2 linked regions of the Neodiprion lecontei genome follow. The main gene of each other region encodes a partner of the protein of the gene in region 2 in a complex. Links are inferred from orthologs where the notes say so. Each region holds a gene or a part of one and is shown on either strand. Other genes may lie near its edges.

What was found. Proteins that work in one complex are often made in the same cells at the same time.
Region 1: THO complex subunit 3 (region 2) and SAP domain-containing ribonucleoprotein share a complex: the UniProt entries of both Homo sapiens proteins name them as parts of the transcription/export (TREX) complex. The link is inferred for Neodiprion lecontei from reciprocal best matches to the Homo sapiens genes THOC3 and SARNP.

The regions. Positions count from the first base shown.
Region 1 is NC_060263.1:36,078,642-36,084,700, forward strand, and holds SAP domain-containing ribonucleoprotein, read right to left. Parts: upstream 4,052-6,059; 5' UTR 3,865-4,051; coding exon 3,814-3,864; intron 3,363-3,813; coding exon 3,266-3,362; intron 3,150-3,265; coding exon 3,088-3,149; intron 2,910-3,087; coding exon 2,679-2,909; intron 2,512-2,678; coding exon 2,383-2,511; intron 2,290-2,382; coding exon 2,218-2,289; intron 2,134-2,217; coding exon 2,038-2,133; 3' UTR 1,338-2,037; coding exon of another isoform or gene 1,182-1,337; 3' UTR 934-1,181; coding exon of another isoform or gene 750-933; 3' UTR 519-749; downstream 1-518. Other genes in the region: formylglycine-generating enzyme, read left to right, coding at 1-237, 333-507, 750-933, 1,182-1,337; male-specific lethal 1 homolog, read left to right, coding at 5,847-6,059. UniProt on the Homo sapiens protein: Binds both single-stranded and double-stranded DNA with higher affinity for the single-stranded form. Specifically binds to scaffold/matrix attachment region DNA. Also binds single-stranded RNA. Enhances RNA unwinding activity of DDX39A.
Region 2 is NC_060260.1:14,298,798-14,305,765, reverse strand, and holds THO complex subunit 3, read right to left. Parts: upstream 5,248-6,968; 5' UTR 5,201-5,247; coding exon 4,985-5,200; intron 4,368-4,984; coding exon 3,585-4,367; 3' UTR 504-3,584; downstream 1-503. Other genes in the region: isocitrate dehydrogenase [NAD] subunit beta, mitochondrial, read left to right, coding at 18-248. UniProt on the Homo sapiens protein: Component of the THO subcomplex of the TREX complex which is thought to couple mRNA transcription, processing and nuclear export, and which specifically associates with spliced mRNA and not with unspliced pre-mRNA.

The DNA.
Region 1 (6,059 bases), on a different chromosome or scaffold from region 2:
TGGACGATTTCTACATTGATGTTTACGAAGTTAGCAACAGAGATTTCGAGGAGTTTGCCAAGGCTACGGGGCATCGAACAGAGGCTGAAAAATTTGGGGATTCTTTTGTGTTTGAGGGATTATTGAGCGAGGAAACAAAGTCTAAGATAAACGAGGCGGTTGCTCAGGCACCTTGGTGGCTACCGGTCAAAGACTGTAACTGGCGTCATCCTGAAGGTCCTGATTCCGACATACTGGGTGAGGTTTTCTTCTATACATAGGTAGTCCAAGAAAATTGGTGAGAAGTAGACGCGCTTCGATCATCACAATCTTAAACACGTTCTCTATGACAGACAGAATGGACCATCCTGTGATTCACGTCTCTTGGAACGATGCCACAGCTTTTTGTAAATGGCGAGGCAAACGACTGCCTACGGAATCTGAATGGGAAGTTGCGTGCAGAGGCGGACTTGTAACTGAACGTCTTTTTCCTTGGGGTAACCGCCTCACTCCAAAGAATCAACACAGGTAAGCTAGTATTGGAATTACGATTGTTCGATTAATTTTTATTTCATTACATCCTCAAATTCGGCGACGCACATTCATTTTTAAATGAAAAATCATTGACAATTGCTTGATTATTCTTCTTTTTTTTTTTGACAAAATACGCACAACACATTTATATGATTCTGTTAAGAAACATGTTACTTATCAATTATTTCTTTAATCTTATTACTAGTATAGAATTTTAATTTACTTTTTCCGTGCAGGACCAACATTTGGCAAGGAGTTTTTCCTAGCAATAATAGTGCTGAAGATGGATTTGTGGGGACAGCACCAATCACAGAATTTCCACCAAATGGTTACGGACTTTATAATATGGTTGGAAATGTCTGGGAATGGACTTCCGATTGGTGGGTAACTGAACACAGTGATAAACCTGCAAAAAATCCTGTAAGTATAACTTTCCTGTGATAACATACACCCAATACCCTTGCAAAAATGAATTCTATTCTAACACAGGAATGTTGCAATTGAAAAAAACTCTCAAAAAAGCTATGATTTATTGCTAAATGATTGTCCTAAGTCAAGATACACAATTTCGAGTACTGGTATTCTTAATAGTTTATGCCAAGCACCTACATTCCATGTAATAATTGTAGTTAAATTTCTCAAATTCATGATCAGTCAAAATTTTGTAGGTCGGACCGTCAAGTGGTACAGACAAAGTTAAAAAAGGAGGCTCATATCTGTGTCATGAGAGTTACTGTTACAGATACAGGTGCGCTGCGCGCAGTCAAAACACACCTGATACTTCTGCTGGCAATCTCGGCTTCAGATGTGCTATGTCGATTTAGCAATATCTGAATTGTACTTAGGTTAAAATATTTTGTAAATACTGGTACACATACGCATGATTGGATAAATTTTTATCAAAGTTTTGATTCTATTTTTAAGCCAGGTCCAAGTCTTCCAGAATAATGTTTGACGTTTAGTATACGTGTGTAAAGAATCATTTCGAAATATGAAGGGTTTACATTATTCCTCAGAAATTACGAACACGATTTTTGGAGCTCGAGATACAGATTTAAGTAGATTGTGATTGTAACCTCAGGTAAACTGTACGTATGGAAAAATGGTAATAAATTTTTCAGAAATTCCCAATCTATTATCAATGTTTCATTCAACGCAAGCACATTTTTGTGACAGCGATCAGCAGGTTATTTTGATTTTATAGGAGCCTCTGGACTTCATTTCCTATTACTAGAATTTATTTTCAGAGATTCCATAATTTTGGAATTATACATCAATAATGTTTGGCAATGAAAAAATTACCAATGCTATAATTTGATTTGATGTTTTTATTTTTTTTTAATTTATAAGTAAAATACTCTATTAGAAATTGATTAATCAAAAAATGTAAATATTTTCGATCCATATTGAATATTGAAAATTTCGTCTACTTTTTAATGACTGTTTGACTATTGGTTTCATTGAAAAAGAATTTCTTAAAATAACCTTAACCTAAAGTATTGTTTGAGTGTATGATATCGAGTATCATTTTACTATCTTAATTTTTTTTATGGGTTTTTCAATCGGCTTAACCTCACCAAATCTCGCTCGCCTCTTTTCTATTCTTGACTCCATTTCAGCCTATAAACAATAAATTATATGATTCATTTTAAAGGCATTTCACAGTAACTGATACACTGCATTGATTAAAAAACTGACACATACTTTTTCCATCACACTAGAAACCGAAGCGCCGAACCTTTCAGCTCTCTTTTTCAGCACCTCAAAGGTCGTATGCTGAAATTAATTATTCACGAGATTTTAATATCATCCCCAAGTTATAAGTGTTCCACGAATCTAACTGTCAAGCTGATTTTGTTCAAAACTTACCACTGGAACGTTTATAGATGCTGCTGACTTACTATTCTGCGTGTTTGAATTAAACCTGGCCGACCTAGCTTCTTTCTTTGCAGACTCAGATAGAGGGACACCAAATTTCTTAGCTCTCATTTCCAGTCTCTGTTCAAAAACGATAATTATCAGATGGTGGATGGATGGAGTATAAAATTTGCAAAATTAATTATTTTTTAACAAGTGCAATAGATGAAGATATTTAGAAGCTGTGAATTTCAGTTGAAAATGCAGGTATGTGACAATCACAAAAAACGTGTAGTTATCATTTTTACCTCCTTAACGCCCAGTTGAGAAAGTTTGATAACCTTCTTTTCAGGTTCACTTGTATCTGATTTATTATTATTCTCTTTTCCAGTTAGCTCACTTTGGATATCTTCGAGAATTGGATTACGATTCAGTACTATTTTTTTGGAATTCGCTGAGTTACTTTCTGTTGACAATTTTCGCTTTTTGCCCACTTCCTGTGAGTCGGGTTTACTAGAAAGTTCCTCTATCTCTTCATCCTACAGGTACATATCATTCATTTATAAAAACGGGAACAGATATACAAACTTGATTCAGACCTGGTAATGCATTATTATTTTAGTGAAGAAACATAATAAACCAATACATTTCAGAGTCTTATATTCGGAATATTATCAATATTTCTGAAAGCTAAAAGGACGTAAAAATATAACTTACTCCGAGAACAGCATCCTCATCTAATATTTCATCCGTAGTCTCGTCAAGTGATAAAGTCGAATCTGTGAAACAAAATATCGGTGGCTGTCAAATATTGAGTATTATTTAATGCAATTCATTAATCCTGGGTATCCTGTAATTAAGCTAACGATTATGGTTTGCATTTTCATAATCCTACCTCCATGCATTGCTAATTGAAGTCGTTCTACCAGCTCGGTTTTATTTCCAGTCGTGGGCAGTCCTCGTTGCTTCAACTCCAACTTTAAATCTGCTACCTGTAATGAATGTCATCAATTGATGCATCAAAATTATTCCCTGCTATAATTAAGTACCTCTCAACTATCGAGAGGTTGGAAAATTGTATTCAAATTTCGAAGAATCTATAATCAACGTTATAAATAAAACCTGACACAGTTCAATCCATAAAGGATAACAGTACCCTTTTTTACAGTAAAAGATCTTTGAGACTTGAATTACTAGAATTTTTCAAGTTTGATTAGTGCACCTTCGAAGCAAAACGTGTTCAGCAATTTGACAACTTTCGGGATGACGATGGTTTCATATATGAAAGTTAAAACATATTACTATTCGAATGACAGAACTCAAAGTAAACTTTCTCCAAAATATAATCATTCAGGGTGCAATAAGATGGTTGGATTCGTTGAGGTTAACGTAAATATTAAATACACAATCGCCGCATGAAACAGTGCTAATGTATGCGCATACCTTCATCTTGGATAACTCGGTTAATCCTTTCTCGTAAGAAGAATCAGCCATAATGAATTATTTTTAATTACTAATTTTCACAAGCGGCAAAACTTTTCGTATTTTATCTCATTTATCACAGAGTTTTGGTACAGGTAAACGCAACAGAGCAAGCCAACCGAAATTCGTAATCACAGTTCGTAACTGTGAAATGTAAGAGGATACGAAAGACCGGAGGAACAATGGCGAAATATAGTCACGCTGATCCCGCCAGTCTCGACCAGTGGCATTTAGCCACACTGATTCAGCCCTGTTTTATCGGTGGCGCGCTTTCCGGCTTGACTGAATTTCCGTATGGCAATGCCGTACTCCATACTGACCAACGGAAATTAACCTCGTTTCAGTTTTTCAAGTGAAATCTATTTTCCTTGTAGTACCGGGTCTGTTACGAAGATTCTAATTGCCAAAATCAATGTTTTTCGGAAGCTCAAAACAAAAACACTGTAACATTTAGAAACGTCGGGCTTTTCTCTGGCGCATCTGGCGGTTGATTGAAAAATAAATTTAGGCCATCTCTCAGCAATGTAAATAAGATAATTTGAGATTTGAAATCTGCGATAGATATTTCATCATTGGTAATTGCAAAAGTTATTCGAAAAGCAATATCTCGAACGGAAATCGAATTGAAAAATCGAAAGAGTGAATCAGTTCTAATGATTATGTATTTTCAACTAAGGTTGCACGTATTGCATTGATCGTGCCTGCGAATTCACTCGCTATATTCACAAAACAGCACTGATTTACTGCTACATGAAAGTCACGTAAGGCACGGATGAACAGAGTAAATCATTTGGTCTATAATTTGGAGTGAGATGACAGTCAATGAAAATTATTACACCCACAACTATTTGTGGCGATAAAAGTTCCAACCGCAAGTGTCGTGCCGATTTATTTATTTATTAACTCTTTAATCTCTTGCCGTTATAATACAACGCCAGGTGCAGATCCGTCCACACGGTGAACGTCAATTTTCTGATATTTTTTGATAAACTAAGTTCTACATAACATTAATATGATGTTTACACAAGCCGCCAAAAATTCGCTCGAGAATTACGACAAAGCGTTTCATCGGCACGCTTTTTACGTAACCTTAGCTGAACCCATGTCACACGACATCCACACTGGTCGGCGGCGTCGCATTAGGAATTGGCGAGCTAAGACGAGACACAGTCTCAAAGGACAACGGTTTATGTACGTGACGCGACAAACGAAATAAACGAAAATGCTGCTCCAATTCACAACCACAATCACAGATCAAGCGGAACGTATCTTGAGACCGTTCCTCGGCATCGATATCGAATTGAAATTCGCATTTCATTATAATATAGCTGTCTTGTAAACGTAATATTTCCGCATGAATTGTAGTAATTGAGTCTTATATGTATATAGTAATGACTTTAATAATTACTCATTAAAGTACGGCATATTTGATTAATAAAAAACATCGCGCTAAAGACTGATGATCTGGAATGTGCTGCACTCTATGCGAAGCTATCAGTGAACATCCTTCTCAGCAGTTGTAGATTTACCTTGCTGTAAAATTTCTATTGAAAGGCATATCCGGAGTATTTTTTTCGTCCGAGCTTCCAACAGCTTGATTAATGCATCGAATAGGTTGTCCATTCGTTACGATTATTCGTAAACGTGGAGAGCGGGAAGAATCTCGTCGGATGAATTCAAATAAACGGGGCCAGCCGTGATTGACGGGTACGGAAATCACGTGGTTGCAATGGCGGGAAATCGTTGGAGTATTTCGAGCCGCGTACGCTTGGTGTCTCTACTGTGAGAACGCCGTCGGCAGAGTTTTGTCAGTAAACATCTCGAGCCAGGGTTAAAATTGAGGGTGATATCGTGAGAGTTTGTCTATTTTGTAGAGTGAAAAGATCATCGGAGTCTACGTAAGATTGTTTAATGAGTGTGGTTGGGCGCGTGGTACGCTCACTGCGGCCACAAATGATCAGGAAAGTTCTTAACGAGGTTGTCACGGAGGGAAAATGTCAAACACCTCGCCAGTAATAAATGGTGAAAACACTGGGAGCGTGGATTTTCGGGAACTGCTTACGGCACCTGGAACTACGGCTAGTGGAGTTAACGCGGCCGCGGCTCGTGCGGCATACAACATGGTTGCAGCAATGAGCGAACATTTATCAACTAACGTGAGGCAAAACGAGTTCCAAACCGCTGCCGAGGATAGCAAGGCGGGCATA
Region 2 (6,968 bases):
TTACTTTTAATTTACAGGGTGCGCGTCACACGTATTCAGAGGCTGTGGGTAAAAATGTGGCAAATCCCACTGCCATGCTTTTATGTTCTGTCAAACTTCTAAATCACGTTAATTTACGAACTTATGCAGAACAGATCAGAGACGCTATTAATCGTGTATTGAACGATGGAAAAGTCCGCACCAAGGACTTGGGTGGACAAAGTTCTGCAACTGATTTCACAAAGGCGATTATTTACAGCCTCCGTTAGTTTGATATTAAATTTTGTTTAATATTACAGGACAACCTAGACCTCGCAGCACTTTACACGCATTTAAAGCTGCGAAAAGATATTGCAAGTTTGATATTGATCGAATATTAATGACATAGTTTGTGCATAGCATAAATATTCTCGCTTATATGTGTAACTTGTGCTCATTATTCAATAGATTAGGTCACTTTGTAAAGTATTATTGTAATATTAGAAAGGAATGTTGATAAGTCTAGGTTGATTTTCAATATGCAATATTTGTACATAACTATCAACTGATTATGTGATATTCGGTCAAAAACATAGATCTTTGACTTGGAATATTCATGAGACAGAGAATGCATGATCAAGATCTTTGCTTCTATAGTGCATTATTCAATTAATACAGTATTGTCGATTACCTTGTGATTAATACTAGGAAAACCAGAAGTGATGGAGTAGTAATTTTGTCAATAGGTAAATAATTGGTATAGTCCAATTTTAGATGAACACTGTTAACATACGTGAATTGTACAAATAATAAATTATTGTATATCCGATTTAAATTACTGTTTGTTTGTCGGTACTTATGTACAAAACGTTGACAACTCGTACCTCAATGCTGAAAAAGCGATCCAATGTAAACAGTCTACTAGTTTTGCAATCCTTAGTATCCTTCCTTGCCAAAGTTGAAAGCTGAACACGCTCTAGGGAATATGCAGCAATATATTTATTATATAATTATGCATAAAAGCAAAGGCCCGAGTACGGATTATATAGGTATGCAACACGTGACAAAATTTTCGATGGTACTTCATTTTGATTGTCACAATCTGCATTCTTTTCCACTCAATACCTATAAAATAGATCATTCAGAAATTCTTAAAAGATCATTTTTCCAGTTGATCTAATATCTTACCATGATTTACTGCAAGAAACGCCTTTGCCGAGTCCACTAAAACCACCAAGGATTTTTTGCTTTATTGGTAAGGCAAGTCAAAACATCTGAGTAAATTTTCCTTTTCTAAATGATGAATTTGAGCATTCTATCTTTAGAACATGTTTCAACTATTTTAGCCGTACTAGCAATTAGTGAGACTAGTTGATATTTTCCTAGTCTCATTCTTTGGTTCAATACTTTTATTATCTACTAATATTTTTTTGAATACTGTTGGAAAGTATCTCCCCTGCATATGCCATTTATTATTTTCACCAGTGGCCATGTGGTATAGATATGACTTTATACACATAGGGTTTTACCTAGTTTTAATTTCTCTATCATACTATATTCTAATACTACAATGAACACTAATTATTACTTCATTGTTAACAAGATCCAGTAACGTAAACTGCTCGACCTTGTCTTGTTTGACCGGTACTTCTCTTATCGATATTCTACCTTCAAGTTTTTGCACACATTCACAAAATATTTGCTAAAGCTATCTGCAGTATTTTTTTTTTCTACTACAGTTTTATGCTATCCAGAAATTGAAAGTATACTCCTAATATGAAATTTACTATTTACGTTCTTCCATAACACCCTACTTGTTCCAACTAGGTATGCGATCATTTTTGGATTTATTTTATTTTTTTCTATAAATTAATTTACACAGTTTATAATTCTTTTGATTTTTTATTCGAACTGCACTATTCACGTTTATGGCATCCTTAAAAATCTTGTCCCTTACGTTAACTAACATCAGTATCCCTATGGTGACAGACTTTTTTTCTTTGTGTAGTGGGATTCAATGGCTTTCTAAATTTCTCTAAGTTCCTTTGCTTCTCCAATTACAAATGTCACATTTGTATGAACATCATTTTGTCATTTTATCTCTATTCTCTTGTCGCAAAAGTGTTCTCCTTTGTTCTTTTACCATCTGTTTCAAGGTTTTGTAAAAGTATTTAGTGCATCTTTCAGTTTTGAGAATATAGACAAATGTTTTCCAACGTGGATTTTCAATACCATGGCTAATATGTCACCAACGTACTGCCTCATACAAACAAAGTAGTGATTGATGCAGGCGGAAGTTAGTTGTGTTACTCTTGTTGGCTTGTCCACCATGGGTATAAACCTCTGGCCACAAAGTACTTCAAAGTATTCTGGTAAAAGACTGTTTTGGTTCAACAAATTCATATTTATGTCGCCCGTCAGTACTATTTCAGTGTTTTGTATTTTTTTTTGGATCCTTCAGATCTGTGTCAAGACAGCCATGCGGTTCTTGTGTAAGTAGATTGCTATTCATCCGTGTTAATTTAGTTGATTTATAAAGTACAATTAATAGCATATTTTGGATTTTCACAACTTTTACTTAATATCACAATACGTTTCCGTTTATTGTATCTTGATTACAGCTGATTGAGTAATTGCTTAGGAAGTATGAACTCAGCGTTTCGATAATCAAGGTTTTACAGCAAATCATTATATCTAGGTGTTAATAGTTTTCGTACAGAAATCCCTCTGATTCTTCAAAATCTTTATCGATATTTCGAGTTTGTAGTTGCTGTGCTTCGAGCCATTCACTAGTTTGTAACAATTACAGCTCTCAGACCTGCTGGCATGCTTTTACGCATAGGAGTAGCACTATGATTGTATTCACTGTACTAGTAACATCTACTCATATTTATGTATTCGTATACTTAGTATCTATCTCACACAATGCAAGCAGAACTTTGTGTTAATTTTATATACATCCCTGGTGAGACTACCGCAAACACAGGTGTAAAATACGGATGATGGAAAGACGGATTTTCAATTTTCTTCAATGTGACCCACCATCTGAATAAGCATATAAAAATAATGTGATACAGAACGTTGAGAGAGGGTGTTCAAAATTTTGTTGATTTGTCAGACTCATGTGTTTTCAAACTAATTTTTTATACATTCGAACTAGTGTAATCAATACTTTCTCGTGAGCTTCAAATTGTTTATAGTAAAAACTGAAAAGAAAAAAACAGTAAGCTTACAGAAGGATCAGTTTAGAGTAGAGGCAATATTCATATTCTTATCTGGCTTTGCATTTGTAAGAAAAGTAATTGACACGTCTCAAATTACAGAATATTCAGATATATGGAGAACATACAGGCATGTACAGTGCTATTGAGGTAATGAACATAGCATTAAACCAAAATAACCCACTACAAAAGCTTCCCTCTTCAACAAATATTGATCAAAATTGCATATGAATTTTAAAATCATCTTAGAGCATTAGGTGTAGAGAGTACTATTTTATCGTGCTATAATGTTATATGTATCATGTAAAGGTATCACACATGAGATCTAACAAAAACGTCATTGTCAAATAAAAATCCCATTTAAAGAAAGTTGACGAAAAGCAGTCAATATGGTAAAATCCAATTTTATTCGCTTGAAAACCCAAAAACTTTCAAGCTTCCAGCATCCCTTTTTCGATCGTAAGTGTCTTTATCGTCACACGCATATGCCAATAAATATTGTTTTGGATGCCACGCCACCGTAAATGTTGCAGCTTCGACCGGTATATCGGCAACTTTTTCTCCCGTTTCTACCTCTCCAATGTCTATGACCAAGTCTTCAGAAGCAGCTGCTAGGAGTTGCCCATCATGAGAGAATGAAATGGTTCTAACAGGCCATTCCAATCGAGAAAATGTCCTTAGGCAACATAATTCATCAGCATCCCACAGAGACACTAAAGCATCAGCTGACCCTGTTGCGAAGTAACGACCAGTAGGGTCAAATTCAATGCAAATGCATGTCCCTGGATGAGCTTTGATTACATGCAGTAGTTCTAGGTCCGGATAGCTTAGAATATGAACACATCCCTGACCATTTGTAAGATAAAATGTGTCCGAATCTTTGTTCCAAGATATTTCATTGACTTCAAAGTTGAATTGTTCCTCGGCACGAATTTTCATTACTCTTGCATCAATGAATGTCACTAAATCCTCCTTGTTGCCAACTGCTATTGTGTTACCATCAGGCGACCAAGATATATTGATGTTTTCACCCCGTGTCGCAATATTTGCTGTGCATTTTTGAGATCTTGTGTCCCAAATACGCATGGTTTTATCTCCACTTGCAGTTGATAGTAGCTCAGGGTGAAATGAGTGCCAACATAATTGATCCACGCTTCCTCCATGTCCGCGGAACGTTGTCTCTTGTTTCTAGAACAAAGGTTTTTGTATTTATACAAAATGCTTTTATATTGTTTTTAAGTGTGTATTGCATGGAGCTTGTATTTGTAAATTTTTTCACTTTATGGGTTCCATGGATCATAAATATACTTGTATAGTTAATTCCACAATTTATCACCTGCATTGAATAATAACTCTATATTGTAGTTAAATTGAATACATATATTGCATCAAATTTATGAGATTGAAGGTGGTAACAAAATATTTCAGAAAAAATCGCTAGCTTGCAACTTTAGAATTGCTCAAAATGCGATGAATGGAAAATTTTATTTATTCATTTATCAACGACAGTAATTTGCAAATAACGAATTTCGAATCAGAAACGAAAACGTTTCTGTCACAGATTTTTATGAGAAATATATTGTTAGCCTATGAAGCAATAGTCGTGGATGACCCTGTATACCTAAAAACTTTCGATTTATATCAAAATGTTATAAAAATACTGACTCTAATGAGTCAAAATAAGATGACTCTTCATGCGGTCAGTGAAGAGTAAGCACAACATAGTCTTAAACTGCAGAGGTTCATTAAAGTATATCAAATTTATAATACATAAACACGTAAACGCACAGCGAGCTTTTACTCACCAAACGATCGGTTCCAAGAGAAAAAATACAAACACACTTGTCGAACGAGCCGGACGCCAGTAGTCTCCCGTCACAGCTCCAGCCAACGCTGTGTACCTTCGCTGAGTGGCTTTGTTGCTCTTTGATTTTGTTATGTGTTTTAAAATAACTTGTCAACTCGTCGACCCGGCTATTCGACGCTGCCATGTTTATTTGACACAGCTGACCGCACAGCATTGCCAACCTATCAGGCGAACAATTCTTTGAATGGCGCCAAAACAATTCTTTAAAATTCTTCGGGAACCCAGTAAACTTTGACTGAAGATTACAAAGACAGTTACCCCTGGGGTCCCTGGGTAAATTTTTGTGTATTAGTTTTCGGATGGCTTTCGGCGGGCAAGTGTGCCCAAGTGGGCCTGGGAGCGTAGGAGGTTTCTGCTCTATCGACTCTACGTAACGGGCTCGTACCGACATTTGTAGCAGCCAAAGTATGGTCGGTATGAAAGCTTAAGATTGAGACGGTACGAAGTGAGTACGTAAAACTACGTAGCGACTGTAAATGTTAGTACCATAACTTTATCGACACAGTCATTATTTTATTCCAATAATACGGACGGATATGCCTTTTCAATGTGACATAATTTTCCTAAAATCGCTTGCCCTCATTGATCTGTATTCGACCATAATGTCTTGCAGAATTACATACAACGAATTATTTTAAGACATGAAAAGTTGTCATAATTATCGAAATAATTATATTTATTACAATCATTATATAAAAACAACAGTTTCGATTCCTGGCTCCGTCGTTAATTTTTCAAATCACCAAAAATTTTCGAATTACATTCTCTAGCATTTTTCTTTCCGCTAAAATAGATATAACGTATTTTCATATCACTTCATAGACGGCCGGGACCGTCTTACGTGGCTTTTAACAAGTAGTGTCATATACTTGTAAACATGTCACATGTATACAAAGATCTATAATTGTGATTTTTGAGACGAATTTCATAATACATATTTATTATTAATTCCTTATTCATCTGAATTGTATGATAAAATAGATCATGCAATAGATTGTGACGTAAATACTTCAAACTTATAATTGTGATTACTGTTTTGTACATTGATGACGTACTTGTGTTGTCAGTTATTAGCTACGCATTTGCTCACAAGGATTTCCAGGGGACGCCACGAGGAGGCCAACTGACATTGCTCCCCCCCCCCCCCCCCCCCATAGGTCGATCAGCTCGATCATCCCCGTGAGGAGATGCGAAACCGCGACTTAATTAATAACATCGATCAGTTCGATCATCTTCGTAAAGAGACGCGAAACCGCGACTTGGTCAATCAGCTCGATCATCTCCGTGAGGAGATGCGAACCCGCGACATAGTAAATTTAGTCTATAGTTACAAAAATTCTATACGCGCTGCATAGGTTTCTCAACTTTTGAGTATAGATTTTAACGCGGATAAAGTTGTAAACAAGCTGTCGACGATGAAGATCGCATGTTTCGTGTTCAAACCACCCACTACACCTAATTTGGTTCACAGCGGCTTTCATGTAAGGGAAGAGCTCATCTTCGATATCATATTCTCCCCTGATTTTCGGATAACCTACATCGAAAGCCGCGTTTATCAAGTTGACACAAACGAAAATTCCGTTGTTGCTACGCGCAAGTTTCCGAAATCGTTTTCCTCTTTCGTTTCGTATTAATCGTTCTCGATTAATTCTCGATTAATTCTCGAGAAATTATATCAATTTATTAAGCTTAATTACTCGGAAACGGCTTGTCTGACAAAAATCTATAATCAGACCTTTTTTGTAGAAAATTTAATTTTATAAAGGGATAAGTGAACATAAATTTTTTCACTTCAATATTTCGACAGTTCTGACGTAAAACATGAAATTATTACTAACAATCAAAAATAGCGATGAATGTAAGCGTAAAGAATATTTTGCGAAGTTAGCAGAAAAAATTAACGATGCTAGGAACACACAAGA